3 linked regions of the Diceros bicornis minor genome follow. The protein of the gene in region 3 purifies or fractionates together with the protein of the main gene of each other region. This does not show direct contact. Links are inferred from orthologs where the notes say so. Each region holds a gene or a part of one and is shown on either strand. Other genes may lie near its edges. The genes, in order: NCBP1, MAU2 and KPNA1.

What was found.
Region 1: the proteins of KPNA1 (region 3) and NCBP1 purify together in Homo sapiens (co-immunoprecipitation; 3 studies listed by BioGRID and IntAct, with this or other methods). This does not show direct contact. The link is inferred for Diceros bicornis minor from reciprocal best matches to the Homo sapiens genes KPNA1 and NCBP1.
Region 2: the proteins of KPNA1 (region 3) and MAU2 purify together in Homo sapiens (affinity purification with mass spectrometry; 3 studies listed by BioGRID and IntAct, with this or other methods). This does not show direct contact. The link is inferred for Diceros bicornis minor from reciprocal best matches to the Homo sapiens genes KPNA1 and MAU2.

Annotation. Positions count from the first base shown.
Region 1 is NC_080767.1:7,925,165-7,931,038, forward strand, and holds the start of NCBP1 (nuclear cap-binding protein subunit 1), read left to right. Parts: upstream 1-1,770; 5' UTR 1,771-1,865; coding exon 1,866-1,899; intron 1,900-5,874. UniProt on the Homo sapiens protein: Component of the cap-binding complex (CBC), which binds cotranscriptionally to the 5'-cap of pre-mRNAs and is involved in various processes such as pre-mRNA splicing, translation regulation, nonsense-mediated mRNA decay, RNA-mediated gene silencing (RNAi) by microRNAs (miRNAs) and mRNA export.
Region 2 is NC_080759.1:6,752,587-6,758,460, forward strand, and holds the start of MAU2 (MAU2 chromatid cohesion factor homolog), read left to right. Parts: upstream 1-2,855; 5' UTR 2,856-2,867; coding exon 2,868-3,158; intron 3,159-5,874. Other genes in the region: SUGP1 (SURP and G-patch domain-containing protein 1), read right to left, coding at 563-734, 2,471-2,504. UniProt on the Homo sapiens protein: Plays an important role in the loading of the cohesin complex on to DNA. Forms a heterodimeric complex (also known as cohesin loading complex) with NIPBL/SCC2 which mediates the loading of the cohesin complex onto chromatin.
Region 3 is NC_080754.1:23,341,352-23,347,225, forward strand, and holds the start of KPNA1 (importin subunit alpha-5), read right to left. Parts: upstream 4,047-5,874; 5' UTR 3,897-4,046; intron 1-3,896. UniProt on the Homo sapiens protein: Functions in nuclear protein import as an adapter protein for nuclear receptor KPNB1. Binds specifically and directly to substrates containing either a simple or bipartite NLS motif.

The sequences.
Region 1 (5,874 bases), on a different chromosome or scaffold from region 3:
AGCATGGCTTGATAAGCGGTGCAGTGGTCCACGCCCGGGATCCGAACCCTCAAACCCCGGTCAACCAAAGCAGAGTGTGCGAACCTAACCACTACACCACCTGGCTGGCCCAAGCACTATCATTTCTTGGCTGAGTTATTGCAGTAGCCTAACTGCCCTCCTCCTCTAAGAGCAAGAGAGGTAACTCTTAAAAAGTAAGTCAGATCACCCTCCAGAGGCTTCTCAACTTAAAGTCCAAGGTCCTTACAGAGCCCCTCCCGCACCTCTCTAATCTCATCTTCTACTCCTCTCCCTTGGCTCACACCTCTGATTGCACCGTGTCCCCATTCCTCAACGGGTCACCAGCACCAGGAAAGCAAGGATTTTCTTTGTTCACCTCTGCATCCTCAGCATCTAGAACACTGCCTGGCACATAGGAGGTGCTAAATGTTAATAAATACGATATTTGTTGAATGAAATAAAACAGTGATTGCGTAGCCAGGGAAGGCTTCACGAAGGACCTGACGTTTGAGCTGAGACCTAAATGTCAAGGAGGCATCCTACGCAGATTTAGGAGCAGAGATCTTTAGGCAAAGGAAACAGTATAAATTCCTAAAGTGGGAATTTTAAGCTTGACTCATTGGAAGAACAAGAAGAGTGGCTGGAGTATACTGATGACAGAGCAGAACCCTGTAAGTCAGGGTATGGCGTTTGCCATGGAAAGTCATCCGAGAGTTGTAAACAGAGGAGTAACGTGGTCTGACTCTGGATTTGTTTTGAAAGCAGAACCGGCAGGGTTTACAGATACACTGTTATGTAGGAAACGAAGGAAAAGGAGGACCCAAGAATGACTCCTACCTACACTTTGAACTAAGCAATCGGATAGATGGTGCCATTTACTGAAATGGGTAAGACTGAAGGAGGCACACTTAGGCCAGGAGAGCGACACAAGAGTTCCATGTTAGACCTGCGACATCTCAGACAGATAAGCAGGTGTGCTGCTCCTCGGAGACGTCGGGGCAGGGGGTGCTCACATACACGTACGCAGGTACCCAATAACCACTGCAAACATTACTAAAACAGCCACCTGTTCCTTCCTAGACAACAACCCGGAGGGGACGCGGAGCAGCGGGCTCACGCCGGGGCGGGTCTTGCCGTCCCAGGGGCGGCTCGTGCGGCGCCGCCTCCCGAGCAGGCCCCACCCCGCGCGCCGGGCGGACCCAAGCTCTCCGCGCCGCTTTCCCGAGGAGGCAAAGGCCCGGAAGTGGGAGGAAGAGGAGCACGTACCCGCCGGGCCTGATCCTCTCTTATATCTTTCTTCACTGAACCGTCTCCACCTAGCAATTGTCGCCGCTCACCGCCCTGGAACCCCGGCCCCCGCCTGGTCTTTACGAAGGAAGGGACGCTCCGACGTCACCTCGCTCCGGAAGTCCTCGAGGACGTTGGCGAAAGGGCCGCTGGGAAAGGCACTGCGAGGCCCCAAGGAGAGTCTGAGGTTGAGGCGGGGCCTGGAGCGTCCCTCCTAGACCAGCCGCCTCCAGGCGTGGCTCGTGGCCAGCGGGCTCTGGCACCGGAAGGACTTAGAGCGAAAGGCGGGAGAAGGAGGCAGCCGAGAGGCGGAGGAAGCCCGAGGGGGCGGTTGCGTGCGGGTCCCAGACGCACGCGGCCTGGTGAGCTCTCAGACGCCGGCCCTCCGCGATCCGAGCCCGCTGAGCCCACCCAGCCGCCTCTCCTCCTTGCGCTTCCGGGGGCCGTCGCGAGCTAGTGCGCCTGCGCGCCGGCCACTCCGCGCTCCGCGCCGCTGTCTTCGCGCCGGCCGGCGGCCCAACGCTTCCTGCCGCGCTTCCCCCCCGGCGTCTCGGCTCGGCAGCGCACCGGCGTGCGGCATGTCGCGGCGGCGGCACAGCGACGAGAACGACGGTGAGTGTCCGGCCCGGCCGCCGAGGCCGCGCCCGGGGGGGCCCGGGTTGGGCTTCCTGGGTCTTCGGGTCTCAGCGAAGGGACGGGAAGCCCTTCGCCCCGGGAGCGTTCGGGGAGCCACAGAGGGAAGGAGGGTGGCACAGCGAGTGTGGCCGGGCGACCCCCGGAAAGCCCCTGCTTCCCCCGCCCCAGCTCCTTTAGCCGTCGGCGGAAAGGAGGCCTGGTGGCCCCCTGGTCTCTAAGGACTTCAGGATTTGGTCCTTAGCATCGCCGAGAGGGGAGGTATACCTGTGTCTGTGCGGCCGCCTCTCAGGGACAGTGACAGGAACCCGCTAGTCCCGGTGTCTCCTTTTGACCCTCAAACTGCCCCTGAAGAGGGTTCTCGGAAGAGTCCTGAAGGAAAGGGACAAAGCCGGGACTGAGAGATCTGAAGAATCACAGCCTGAGGTTTGCCCCTGTCTCGGTCATTTGCCTCCTTTCAAGCTGCAGGGAAAGAAATCTGTCTCTTACCCACACCCAAGAGGTCACTCACTAATAAACAGATGCATGTTGTTAGGTTTGGAACTGGCCATAAGCGTATTTCCCTCGTGTAAGAAAGAGTGCTGGAAAACTAACTGGAGAGCTCTTAGAGATTTAGCTCACGGGTTCCCATCTCCATTTGGAGGGTTGATCTCATGTCCCCATGATGTTGTCGTCATAAAAACGAAGAATAATTTTGCTAGTTAAAAATTGAAAAAGATACTTAAATTACAAAAATCGGTCAGGAATACACACCCACCAAAAAAAAAAAAAGAAGAAGAAACTAAGAGTAATTCTGTTATTAATGTTTTAGTGTATTGTTCTTTGAAAAGAGTGTACTGTAGTGGTTAAAAGGCCAGACTTTGGAATCAGAGGGTTTAAGTTCAAAGCTAGACCCCACCATTTACTTTGTGATCTTGCCTGGGTTATACCACCTTTTAAACCTTAGTGTGTAATAATGTTTATCATCTGTTAATGCTTAAGATGTGGTAAACATTGGCAGATGTCAGTGATGTAAGAAAAAATATGGAGTAAAAATTTTTAGTTGAATTAATTCTCTGCACTAACATTTTTGTCTCCTTGAATATTGGGGCAGTTGAGGGTAGGGGCAGAATCACGTGTATTTAGTTTTAACAATGAAACATCAGATTTCTGCTGGAGTGTGGTTTGATAGGATATTCTAGTCCAGCCTTCTCATCTGACACCTAAAGTTTTGGAGTGTTAGTGTATGGGCTAAACATACATAGTGTATGCGCCAAGGCCTACAGTGGAGATGTTGCACGTTCAGTTCCAGACCACCGCGGTAAAGCAAGTCACACAAACTTTTTGGTTTCCCAGTGCATGTAAAAGTTATATTTACACTATACTGTAGTTTATTAAGTGTGCAGTAGCATTGTATCCAAAGAAACACAATGTACATACCTTAATTAAAAAATAATTTATTGCTAAAAAATGCTAACCATCATCTGAGCCTTCAGCGAGTCATCATCTTTTTGCTGGTGGAGGGTCTTGCCTTGATGTTGGTGGCTGCTGTCTGATTAGGGTGATGGTTGCTCGAGGTTGGAGTGGCTGTGGCAACTGCTTAAAATAAGACAACAGTGAAGTTTGCCACATCAGTTGACTCTTCCTTTCATGAATGATTTCTCTGTAGCATATGATGCTATTTGATAGCATTTTACCCACAGCAGAACTTCTTTCAAAATTGGAGTCAATCCTCTCAAACCCTGCTTTATCACCTGTTGATGTAATGTTCTAAATCTTTTGCTGTCATTTCAACAGTCTTCACAGCATCTTCACCAGGAGTAGATTCCATCTCAAGAAACCACTTTTTTTGCTTATCTATAAGAAGCAACTCTTCATCTGTTCAAGTTTTATCATGAGATTGCAGCAATTCAGTCACATCTTCAGGCTCCACTTCTAATTCTAGTCCTCGTGTTATTTCCACCATATCTGCAGTTACTTCCTCCAGTTAAGCCTTTAACTCCTCAAAGTCATCCATGAGGGTTGGAATCAACTTCTTCCAAACTCCTGTTAACGTTGGTATTTTGACTTCTTCCCACGAATCACAAATGTTCTTAATGGCATCTAGAATGGTGAATCCTTTCCAGAGATTTTCAGTTTACTTTGCCCTGATCCATCCAGGAATCACTATTTATCACAGCTGTAGCTGTATGAAATATATTTCTTAAATAATAAGACTTGACAGTTGAAATTATTCCTTGATGCAGGGGCTGCAGAATGGATGCTGTGTTAGCAGGCATGAAAACAGCATTAATCGTGTTGTACATCTCCATCAGCACACTTGGGTGACCAGGTGCATTGTCAGTGAGCAATAATATTTGGAAAAGAATCTTCTTTTCTGAGTAGTACGTCAACGTTGGTCTTAAAATGTTCACTAAACCATGCTGTAAACAGATTTGCTGTCATCCTGACTTTGTTGTTCCGTTTATAGAGCACAGGCAGGGTAGATTTAGCATAATTCTTAAGAGCCCTGACTTTTGGAATGGTAAATGAGCATTGGTTTCAACTTAAAGTTACCAGCTACATTAGCCCCTATCAAGAGCATCAGCCTCTCTCTCTTTTTTTTTTTTTGGTGAGGAAGATTAGCCCTGAGCTAACATCCATTGCCAATCCTCCTCTTTTTGCTGAGGAAGGTTGGCCCTGTGCTAACATCTGTGCCCATCTTCCTCTACTTTATATGTGGGATGCCTGCCACAGCATGGCTTGACAAGTGGTGCATAGGTCTGCATCTGGGACCCGAACCTGCAAACATTGGGCTGCCGAAGCAGAGCATGCGAACTTAACCACTGTGCCACTGGGCTGGCCCCTCAGCCTCTCCTTTGAAGCCTTGAAGCCAGGCATTGACTTCTCTCTAGCTACAAAAGTCCTAGATGGCATCTTCTTCCAACATAAGGCTGTTTCATTTACATTGAAAATCCGCTGTTTAGTGTAGCCACCTTCATTAATCATCTTAGCTAGATCTTCTGGATGACTTGCTGCAGCTTCTACATCAGCACTTGCTGCTTCACCTTGCATTTTTATGTTATGGAGGTGGTTTCTTTCCTAAACCTCATGAACCAACCTCTGCTAGCTTCACACTTCTGCAGCTTCCTGACCTCTCTCAGGCTTCCTAGAATTGAAGAGAGTTAGGTCCTTGTCTGGATTAGATTTTGGCTTAAGGGAACTTGGTGGCTGGTTTGATCTTCTATCCAGACCACTAAAACTTCCTCCATATCAGCAGTAAGCCTGTTATGCTTTCTTATCATTCGTGTGTTCACTGGAGTAGCACTTGTAATTTCCTTCAAGAACTTTTCCTCTGCATTCACAACTTGGGTAATGATTTGGCACAAGAGTCCTAGCTTTCAGCCTATCTCGGCTTTTGACATGCCTTCCTCACTAAGCTTAATCATTTCTAGCTTTTGATTTAAAGTAAGAGACATACGAGTCTTCCTTTCACTTGAATACTTAGAGGCCATAGTAGGGTTATTAATTCGCCTAATTTCAATATTGTGTCTCAGAGAATAGGGAGGCCTGAGGAGAGGAAGAGAGACGGAGAATGGCCTGTTGGTGGAGCAGTCGGAACACACACAGCATTTATCGATTAAGTTTGCCATCTTATGTGGGCACGGTTTGTGGCGCCCCAAAACTATAATAGTAACGTCAAAGATCGCCGATCACAGATTGTCATAACAAATATGATAATAATGAAACAGTTTGAAATATTTGCAAGAATTACCAAAATGTGGCGCAGAGACGCAAAGTGAGCAAATGCTGTTGGAAGAATGGCACCAAGAGACTTACTTGATTTGATTGCCACAAACCTGCAATTGTAAAAAGCCACAAACCTTCAATTGTAAAAAATTTGTAAAATTAAAAAAAGTACAGTATCTGCGAAGCACGACAAAGTGAAGCCCAGTAAAACGAGGTGTGGCTGTAATTGACATGAAGACACGGCTA
Region 2 (5,874 bases), on a different chromosome or scaffold from region 3:
TGAGCTACCTCCTGCCTACCTCCAGAACAGCCCCTTTGGTGCAGCAGCTCGGGCTGCTTGACACACAAGGGCTCCCTCCCCTTCCTGCCCTCTGCCAGGCAGGCCTTTCCCTGCTTCCTCAACGGGCTGGCTCTGCCTGGGCCTTCAGACTGTAAAGCTTCTTCTGCGCCCCTATGGTGGCCACTGCATCTGGGAACACACTGCTTTAAGTTACCCAGCAGCAGCTCTAGGGGTAGAACTGGCACCCCCTTTGCTAGCACACTGTGAACCAGTCAGAGTAAAAGCAGAGACAGAGTCTAGGTTTTTGCTTCATGCTACACCCCTAGTCCCTGGTCAGCAGTAAATAACTGCCAAGTGAAGGAGTTGGCAGGCCATTCTCTGGGCTCCCACACACCCCTTGTTTCTCTTCTGCCACACTACACCTCTTGAAAGAGAGCACCTGTGTCACTCCTTGCATTATCAGGCTGTGGCCAGGTGCAGGTACACCCTGACTGCTCTCACAAGCAAAACCCTCTGCCCGATGACCCTCTATGACCTCATTCCAGCCTCAGGGGGCACTCACTCGCCAGGATGCGGGGCTTGAGGGCTGGCCATCTGATTCTGCTTGGCTTTCTGCTCCATTTTGGCTTCAATTTCCCGTTTCTTCTGAGCAATGAGCTCTTCCTGATGAAGGATGTTCATGTTCATTTTTCCAGACTTGGGAGGAGCAACCCCAAACCACCGGTTAGCCTTTCCTGGGGAGGGAAAAGAAGCACATCAGAAATCACCTTCGCTCCACAAACATGCACAGCAGCAGCTACAGGAGCAGGCCAGTTGCTGCCTTGCAGCATCTCATATTCAGATTGACATTCATACATCCATTCATTTATTCAGCAAACATTTACCAAACTATGTACCAGGTGCTGTACTAGGTGCCAAACGAGAGAGACGGGGCCTCTGCCCATGTGGGACTCACCTCTAGCTGGGGAGACAATAGACTCATAACAAAAAAGTAGCTGCAAAATCATGATAAGAGCTCTCTGCTGAAAACCAAAAGGGGTGAGAAAGAATAGCAGCAGAGCGCCTATACAGCTAGGGCAGCCAGAAAATAACCATTAGAAGTGGGGACCTTTAAGCTAAAACCAGAAAGACAAAGAGCCAGCCTCCTGAAAAGCCAGATGGGGCACGATCTGGGCAAAGTAAGGAGCAAATGCAAAAACCCAAGGCTAGAAGAAGCCTGGAGCACCCAAGGACCAGCAAGGGTCCAGTGTGGCCAGAGTGGTCCACTCCAGGGATGCGCATGGCAGGGCACAATAGGGAGTCTGGGCTCTACTTTAAGAGCTTTAGGAGGCAACGGGGAAGTATTAAGCTAACAAGATCCAACTGGTATTTTTATTTTTAAGATTATTCTGGGTACTGATTGGAGAGAGTGCATAGGCAGCAAGGAGGCCAATGAGGAGGCTTGCTGGCTCCAAGCAAAAGACAATGTTGTCTTCAGACAAGGATGGTAGCTGTGGAGTTGAAGAAGACATCTTGAAGGTTCCCAGTGGCAATTCGAATAAAATCAAAATTCTGAAAGTTGCTTGTCAAGGCCCTTCCAGGGATGGTTCCCCTCCCCACTTCCATTTCATCCTTGACATTCTTCAAAATGACAAGCCCATCCCACCCCAAGGCATTTGCACTTGCTGTCCCTCCCTCTGCGTAGAAGGCTCTACCCTCCAGGCCTTCCCATAGCTGGCAAGTTCTCATCTCAAACGTCTTCTGCTCAAAGAGGCCTTCCTTGACCACCCAGTATCAGCAGACTCCACCCCCACTCTTTCAGATCATTAAAACCCTCTCTCTGTAAATATTTCCTCTTTGGTGCATTATGTGACACCCTAGCAGAAAATAACCTTTTCTACTAAACAGGGCACTGTTTTGGTTACCACTGCATCCCCAGCGCCTAGCACAGTGCCTGGCACACAGTGAGTATTTGCTGAATGCGTGAATGCATCCCAGCCTAGCGGGGCTAGGGCTGGGAGACAGGGAATGGCAAGCCTTGTAGTGAAGGAGGGGCTCGAAAGACCCAGGCAGATGCGTACAAGAAGTCCGAGAGCATTTCGGAAAAGCAGCTTTTCTAGAAAGCGGGACACTGGCCAGACGGCACCTGCTACAGAGAGGGGCGCGGGACAGCCCAAGGTTGCCGCTGTTTCGGGGAGCGGAGCTCAGGGCAGCCCTCAAGGCGGTTATTTCGGAAAGCGGGCGCAGGGAAGAGCCAGGTGGCGGCCTTTAGAGAGACCCGGGCGCCCTCAACACACCAGGCGGGGACAAGGGCAGCAACTGGGGTCTGGGGTCTCGGGAGACGGGGGAGGTGCAGAAGCCATCGCTTCGGGTCGCCCAAAGGCTTAGGCGAGGGGCCGGCGGGTTAGGGCAGGCCCGACAGGAGGGCAAAGCGGCGACACGGAGCCCAGAAGCCCCAAGCCAGCGCTTGAAGGGAGGTGTGGGCTATTACCTGCAACATCCCGGTTGTCCATCTTGAGACTCATCCAATCCCACAATCCTCCGGCGCCACCTGCGGTGGGAGGAAGGGCCAGTTATACTGCGCATGGCTTGATGGGAGATGTAGTCCGCGCCGGCCAGCCACGCCCCGCCACTGCATGGACACCTGGGGTCTTCCCCCCAGGAACGCAAACCTTGGCCAATCGGCAATGTCTAGTCTCAGTCCCGCAGACTAGAGGCCGTCGCCTTTTCTCATACCTTCCCGGAGCCGCGGCCCTCCAAAAACAAACTACATGTTCCGGGATGCTCTGTGCAACAGCTCTCGCGAGAGACGCGGGGTGCGCCCGGCCCCGCCCCGCGTGCCTGCTTCCGCCTCCCTGCGGCGGCGGCTTGTTGTTGTGGAGGCCAAAATGGCGGCGCAGGCGGCAGCTGCGGCTCAGGCGGCGGCGGCGGCGGCGGCGGCGGCTCAGGCAGCGCAGGCCGAGGCGGCCGAATCGTGGTACCTGGCGCTTCTGGGCTTCGCCGAGCACTTCCGCACTTCCAGCCCGCCCAAGATCCGCCTGTGCGTGCACTGCCTGCAGGCCGTGTTCCCCTTCAAGCCGCCGCAGCGCATCGAGGCCCGCACGCACCTGCAGCTCGGTTCCGTGCTTTACCACCACACCAAGAACAGCGAGCAGGCGCGCAGCCACTTGGAGAAAGCGGTGAGCGCGGGCCGGGCCGCGAGGAACGAGGCGGCGCGGGCTCCTTGTGGGGCCGCCTGTGTTCACGGGCTGCGACCCCCGGCGGGCGGGGGCGCCCAGGCCGGTCCTCGGGGACCCGGGGCGCGACCTCTGCGCGGACAGCGGGACGCGAAGCCGCCTGCCTCTCAGGGAATCCGAGCGCCTTGTCTCGCATCTTAGTTAACGTGTTTGGTGACAGGCAGAGCCCCGCCCAGGTTGCTCCGCGAGTTGCCTCTTCTCAGGACCAACAGGCCCAAATTCTTCAGGTTTTCAGGAGGATATCAACAGGAGGATGCCTGTTGGCTCCTGTGGGAACGCCCCAGTTCGGCCAGTGGGTCCTGCAGCTTCCAGCTCCTCAGGGCTCAGCCCTGGGAGCATCAGCCTGAACGCTCTCTCCTGAAGTGACTGGGGATAGGGGAACCATCCTTTGGGAATCTGAAGCTTGGTCTCTCAGGAAACCTAGGAAGGTGTAACCTTCCTGGACCCATAAGTCTCATAAGGGTCTGGAGGGTTTTGTACCGCTATCAGTAATGCGGAGTGTCATAGATGGGAGGCAGAGACCTAGAGTTGGTGATTTGAAGTCCTATAAAGAGGTGGAACTGAGTCGGGGGTTGGGGGGGGGGTCTGGATTCCAGGACCAGTTGCTCAGTAGGGGCTGAAGGAGGCGGGGATCTCACAGCTTCTACTTTCTCTGTATCCACCAGTGACTTCTTTTCCTGCCACCATCCACCAGTCCATCCCCTTCAAGGGGCAGGCCCCATCCCCCCATCTTGACTTGTGGGATCTAAGTATTCCAAGGAAGGTGGGAAAGTGGCTGTTTTTCTGGCTGTGGAGTGGTTTCTTCTCGCAGCAACACTGCACTCCTGGCAGATCACGCCTCCATTTCCCATTTACCTAACTTTAGTCTACTTAAAGGACAGACTTTTTTTTTTTTTCTTTAGATTTTGTGTGTGTGTGTGTGAAAAGGACTAGCCCTGAGCTAACATCCGATGCCAATCCTCCCCTTTTTTCTTGAGGAAGATTGGCCCTGAGCTAACATCCGTGCCCATCTTCCTCTGCTTTTTTTTTAAATTTTTTTTTGTGAGGAAGATCAGCCCTGAGCTAACATCTGATGCCAGTCCTCTTTTTTCTGAGACTGGCCCTGAGCTAACATCTGTGCCCATCTTCCTCTACTTTATATGGGACGCTGCCACAGTATGGCTTAACAAGCGGTGTGTTGGTGCGCGCCCGGGACCCAAACCTGCGAACCCCGGGCTGCCGAAGCGGAGTGCATGCACTTAACTGCTTGCACCACCGGGCCAGCCCCAAGGAGAGACTTCTTGAATAGAATCAACTGAGATTTTTAGTTTATTGTTCTGAGGTGAATCTGAACCTACACATGGCTAGTAACAAGTTGCCCCTGGAAGATATCAAATCTTTGTTTTGTTGAGGGGACTTTAGTCCTTGCTCGATCAACTTCCTTGTTTCAGGAGTGAGGCAGAATGGGCCCAGACAGGTGAAGTGATTTGCCCAAAGCCACACAACGTTATTAACAAAACTGGGCTCAAACCTAGGCTCAGGATCACCAGGTTCCATCCCAAGACAATAAGTCACTATTGTTTTCGTGAAGCTTTTTTCTTTCATTCATTCAGCAGACGTTTATTCAGCTCACACCAGGTGCCAAGCCCTATTCTAGGTGCTCGGGATCAGTGATGACTAAAACAGTCCTCACCCGCTTAAGCTTATGTTTTAGTGAAGGAGACAGACAATGAATATCTAGTAAAAGGTTAGGCTGTGGTATAAGAACCATAAAAAATATGGACCAGGGAGAAGGGATGGAGTTGACAGAGAGGTATTTTTGGCAGAGGTAGTGAGGGAGTCTATTTGTGGGTGTGACGTTTGAGTAGAGGCCTAAATGGGAGGGAGGAGCAAGCCTGGAGAACTGCTCAGGGTGTCAGGTTGATCCCAAGGAGTGCCTGACCTGTCAATGAGCAGTTGGTGTCAGGGTCTCCTGCGGTGGGGGGAGGATATATGGGATGGGGCATGGAATTTAGCCTGTTTCTACCAGTGGTTCACAGTTGCTGTGTCGTTGTCACATTTTGCCTGCTCAGTGCTGTTGAGTGGAAGAAGCCATGCCTCAGATTTCTTCCCTGTAGTTGCTTGGCTTTTGGACCCATGATTTAAATCGTTATCCTTGCAAAGTGCCTTCCCTCGATTTTACAGAACCCTGAAACTTGTGGGGACTTACACAGAGCCACAGGGTCCCCTCCATAGCTCACACTGACATTCCACCAGGAAATCCCTTTCTTTCTGTCTGTTGCATCCCCACCGGGGAATTTGTCCAGATTTCAACTCAAGTGTCGTTCTCTGTGCTGTTTTCCTTCTGCAGTTCTTTGTGATCTCCTTTTGGGTTGCAATGCAAGCATGCTTTCTTTAATCTTCATTCTTTATCAGTTGTGCATCTTTCCCAAATCAGGCAGCTATCAACTTTTATTCTTTCCTTTCCCAGCTCAATAAAGAATCGTAATATGTTCTCCTTTTAGAAATGGTTTGCTAGTTTCTAGCGCTAAAGAGCAAATGGCCAAAGAGATTCCAGTTTCTTTTCAGGGAGCCAACCCAGAGTAACAAAAATTTTATTTGTAAAAAATGACTCTCAAGTATTTTATGACTATTTTCCCCTTGATCCTTCCCCCTGCTGTTCCTTTCCTGAACTAATTTT
Region 3 (5,874 bases):
CACCTGATGTAGTGCTTGACCCATCAATAGATGTCAGTGCCTTTTGCTTGTCTTTCTGTTCCCTAGCTACAAACTCCTTCTGACCCCAAGCTGCCTTGCTGGTCACAGAGTACAGCGACTCACGGACAACTCAGCACATATCCCTCCTCATGCTGGAAAATCAATGATGATGAGTAAGCAGACTTATCTTTGTACATGAAGGCCAGCATTATTCTTGTTACGTGAAGGAGATTATCCCCCTTATCCACATTCTGGATTATTGCCTGCTTTCAAGAACTGTCCCAGTTAGTCTACTACAGTAGGTCAGAACCATTTTACCACTTAGCTCTGTTTTGTAGGGTCATAACATCTTTAAAAAAAAAAAAACAAAAAAAAAAACCTACCTTTCCATCAGCCTTCATCCGTGCTCTTTCACTGCAGGACCTCAAAATCTGCTAACGCCCTATGTGCCCCTCACCTCTCCCCCGTCCCCCCATGGCCTGGGGCCACCTCCTGCTTACGGCAGCAATAATAGAGTGAAATCAGCCCCAATCAGCTAATTTAATTGTTTACCGTTTCCCATCTTTTCTTCCATTATTATGGCTGAATTCATAATACTCTGCAAAGTACAGAGATCTTAAAACAAAGAGAGCAATAGGGAATTATCTCTATCACTAGGACAGTCATCTTTATTTACATGGCCAAAAGTCTTAATTAATTTTATACAAAGTATTCACATATACTTCTAAAAACAATCTGACAGGCTTAAGCACACAAACATCATAAATCAAGACTTTATCATTAACTCAACAAACACTATGCTAAAACACTGGAGATAAAAAGAATAAGATATAATCTCTACTCTCAAATGAAAGGGAAAAGGTAAAAACAACATCAAGAGCAACAGAGAACAAAGAAAATAGTCCAGGAAACAACTGAGAGCAATCCCAGACTACCTGGTATAATTTATAACATAGGTGAGGCTAAGGAAAATTACAAAAATTGGACACAGCTCTGAGCCTCCTGTCAGCCAAAGTGTAAAGAGAAACAAGATAGCTTACAAAACACAAAAGATCTAATAAAAGCAGTCATTTGTTTAAAAAAAAAAGAAAAAGGCTATCATGGGGTCTTAAAAAGAATCTGTCTCTAGAGTCTCTACTTTATTAAGAATCGATAAATAAGAAACAGTGTCTTGGGTAGCAATGAAGATTTTTTTTCATGTTGCCTTTTCCTATGTACCAATCCTAGATAAAAGTCAAGGTGCAATGGCCAACAGGCACATGAAAAGATGCTCAACATCGTTAACTATCAGAGAAATGCCAATCAAAACTACAATGAGATATCACCTCATGCCTGTCAGAATGGCTATAATTAACAAGACAGGAAACAACAAGTGTTGGAGAGGATGTGGAGAGAAGGGAACTCATACACTGCTGGTGGGAGTGCAAACTGGTGCAGCCACTATGGAAAACAGTATGGAGATTCCTCAAAAAATTAAGGATAGAACTACCATATGATCCAGCTATTCCACTGCTGGGTATTTATCCAAAGAACTTGAAAACACCAATGCGTAAAGATACATGCACCCCTGTGTTCACTGCCGCGTTATTCACAGTAGCCAAGACTTGGAAGCAACCTAAGTGCCCATCAAGGGACGAATGGATAAGGAAGATGTGGTATATATACACAATGGAATACTACTCAGCCATAAGAAACGATGAAATCCAGCCATTTGTGACAACATGGATGCACATTGAGGGTATTATGCAAAGTGAAATAAGTCAGAGGGAGAAGGTCCAATACCATATGATCTCCCTCATTAAGTAGTAGCTAATAACAACAATAAACAAACATAGAGACAGAGATTGGATTGGTGGTTACCAGAGGGGAAGGGGGGAGGGAGGAGGGCGAAAGGGATAATTTGGCACATGTGTGTGGTGATGGGTTGTAATTAGTATTTGGGTGGTGAACATGATGTAATCTATGCAGAAATATAAGTATAATGATGTACACCTGAAATTTATACAATGTTATAAACCAATGTTACTGCAATAAACAAAAAATAAAAATTAAAAAAAAGTCAAGGTGCAATATTAAATCCTAGTTCTGTGGAGAAACTTCTGTGAGGACCTAAAGTAACATAATGCAGTACAGTGACTTCAGGTGAGGCATTTATGTCGGTCATTTAGTTTATTCTAGCTTTTTATAAATGTATGTTTTGTTTCCCTACTAGATTGTAAACTCCTCAAGGCTTATGTTGTCTGATTCCATTTTAACTTCCTTTGCTACTTAGTACTTTATAGTTTCTGCTCAATAAACAAACATAATGACTGATAAAATGTCATGCAGTCAATATTTATTTTCTTTGTTAGTCTCCCCCTACACTATAAATTCCATGAGGACAGGAACAGTGTCTTGATCACGTCCATATCCCCAGTCTCAGGGCACATGATCACTCCATAATTGTTCATTGAACGAGTGGATTAAAGAAAGAAAACACCATCAAGAAATATAAAAGGAGAGGAGAAATCATTCTTAGAATGGCAGTGACTTTGGGTTCGAAGGCTGGTTCCAACAAGGGCTGGATGACCTCAGGTAAGTTACTTCTCTGACCTTGAAAGTTTTCATCTGTAGAACAGGAAAAATTAACATCTACTTCCGAGTTACTGTCAGCATTAAATGTTTTAATATACGTCAAGTATTGAGCACAATACCTGGAAAGGAGCTCAATAAATGTTAATTCGTTTACTTTCTCTCACGTCCTCCATCTTAAAATCACACATTACACATAAAACAGTGCCTTTCAAGAATAAATTATTTCAGTAAAAATATAATCGATTTCATAATCACTTTCATCTCTTCAATCTTTAAAATGAAGGGGGAATAACGTGGATTACTTTCAAAATATTACAAATACAAGAACAAGTTAAGGAAAAAACAACGTCAAGAGTCAGCGTTGAAACAAGAGCGGGGAAAAAAACCACTTACTCATCTACTGCTAAGAAATAGGAGTTGTGAAGAAACTGTTTATTAAAGGAAAAAAAATACTGAAAAAGTCAGTAATATTATTTAATAGCATGTTTTAGAAAAAACACTTCAAAATTGCTTATTCTGAATGTAAACCTTGAAAATCAATTATTTTGAAATCTTTCACTTAAACGTGGAACATTAAACACTCCCATTCAAACCTAAAACACTCCTTCGTGCCGACCTCCCGGACTCCAGTCATCCTCCAGTTTTCTCCTCCCATTTTGAGCTTCATCTAATACTTCGCTGTTCCCCTCGCATCACCACTTACACACGCTGTGTGCAGACGAAGTTCTGTCATTCCTATAATTACCACACCCCGTCAGCCGCTTCGGGCCCATGTTGTTATGACATCTGTAAACTGCAGTCGTCCGTCTCCACCCCGCCCCCCCCAGCCCCCGGCTCGGACTCGGGCCGCAACTTGTGAATTCCCAAGGTGGTCCCTTCCCGCCTCGGTCAGGATTCTTACACGCCCCCCCTGCTCTTCCCTGCCCCAGTCACGGCGCTCCGCGCTGCCCACCCCCGCCCGCTCGCGCCGGGCCGCGGCGCAGGCTCCGCGCTCGCCTCCTCTCCGCCCCGCTGCCTCGGCGCCCCGCAGTCCCCGGCGCCGCGTCCAACCCCGCCGCCGCCCCGCCCCGCCTCGACCGGCGCTCGCTATGGCCCTCGCACAGGCGCTCCCCGCCCCCACCTTCCCCTCCGCTGGCCGCGCGGCCGTTAGGACAGCTGGGCCCGTGACGCACGGACGCGCCGTGGGCGCCCCGGCCCAGGTACCCGAGCTGGAGCGCCCCCGGCGCCCGCCCTTGCCCCGGGGCCTCTCCCGGGTCCCGCCGAGGACTACCGAGCCGCCGGAGGGAGGGGGAGGGGCCGGGCCGCGGGGCCCCCGCACTCACCAGGGTCAAGGCAACCGATCCCGGTGCCTCTGCTGGGGGGAGCCGCTTGCTCGCTCGTCTGCCCGCCGTACCCCTCCCGCGCACAACCTCGAAGAGCCGACCCGCGCCGCGGCGGTGCTCTCCAGGCCTCACTCTCGCCGCCGCGCACCCAGCAGCCAGACCCAGCTCAGCCGGCGTTCGCAGGGCGCCTGCGCGCGGGGACCGGCCCAGGCGCCTGCGCGCGCCCCTCCACCACCCTGCTGCAGAGGCTGCCGGGAGGCGTAGTCTCCCAACCGTCGTCCTCTAGAAGCCTTGAGGTTAGCCTCGAGTCTGTGCGGAGTCGGAGGTCAGGGAGCAGGTCCCGCTGAGGAGGAGGTTCGCAGTCAATGGCCGAGGTCGGAGAATCGTGGTGGAGTGACAGTGAAACGGTACTTCTTAGGTTAAATTGCAAAGTTATGTCTACAAACCTGTCTTCGAAGCTCTTCCAGGGCCGACGGATCTTCTCTCGCCTCTATCTATAGCTAGCCTCTAACTTGGTTGATATTTAAGCCACGTTTGCTGAATGAATGGTGAAACGAAGGAAGGCTGAGGGAGTATTACAAACGTCTTAAAAGTCGGCGCCTCATGTCTAAGGCATTCACATGCAGCACGTTTGAGGAAGCTTCTGGGTATTCCTTCTTTTAGTTCTCTCCCATCCCCTTTGCCTGATAATGTATGAGGAGCATCAGAAATCACTAAGAAATTAAGTGAAACGCAAATACTTGCTTTAACTCTCACTAAATGCTCTCAAACGAAGACTTGGGGCAAATCATTGTTACTGCTAAGTTTGAAAAAATTCTTTTTGGGGAATTTCTTTTTGAGCAGTGGCTTCAAAAGAAGAAAGACCGAAGCCAGCCAAGCAAAGGTCGGGGAATAGAAAGTCTCACGAGTGACATGGGATATCAGATTGATTTAAAACACCCACCAGGAAGCAAGGCGAAAGAGAGGAGGTCGAGTAATACATTTATAAATGCGGGAGAGAGGACCACGCTAGCGGAATCCTGGGCTATGCCATGTTCATTTGTCCTGGAGCTCTTTCGGCTCCATCAGTATTCCCCACTGATGTTGTGTTGACTAGGGTGAGAGGTGAGTTTGAGCAAAGGGGCTGGAGAAAGGGAAGGTGTTCTAAGGCGGGGACTTAGGAGCAAGTATGCCTGACCACAGCTAAATTGAGGACAGATCACTTTATCCCAATCAGAAGCTAAAATTACTCAGAGTTGGACTCTCTTTCTTCAGAGTTTAAGTCTTTGTGAAAGCTAGTTTATTTCCAGTTCACCCTTAGTCCTAGCGAGGGTAGGCCTTGAGAGTCCCAACCAAAAGTGTGGAGTATTTACTAGGGCCTCTCCTCTATGGCTGGGCCTCCTCAACATCCTGAGACCTCGGTTTTTCAGCCACTGCTTTCAGAATTAGCAATCACCTCCGGTGGAAAAGTGATGGCAACCATCAGGCTCGCCTCTCATGGCTTCCCTTTTCTTCCAGATCTTGGACCCACAAGTTCTCACTGCCATGGTAGCTCGTTAATGCCTTAATGTTTTTTATATTTTGTCCAGTTGTTCTCAGTGGCGGTAGGATTTGTTCAAGACAACAACAGTTGCTGGAGAAGAATTCCTATATACATGTTACTTTGACAAAAGTGTTATACCACACATCGTGTTTTATTAGCTAATGTCTCTCTGACTATATCTTTTTGTATTTTGAAAAATTTAAAAATTATAGAACAATAGTTTTTCTGTTACAAGCAATGCTGCTATGAACATTCTTGTACGTATCTTCATGTGTATAAGGAAACTGCTAGATCCTAGGACATTGCATCTTTAATTTTACTAGATGTGGTAGGCAGAATTCTGAGATCGCCCCCATGATCTTTGGCCCCTGGTGTTGCCCTGTATAATGCCTACCTCTGGAGTCAATAAAATATGGCAAAGACGATGGGGTGTCACTCCTTTTATTACATTTCCCT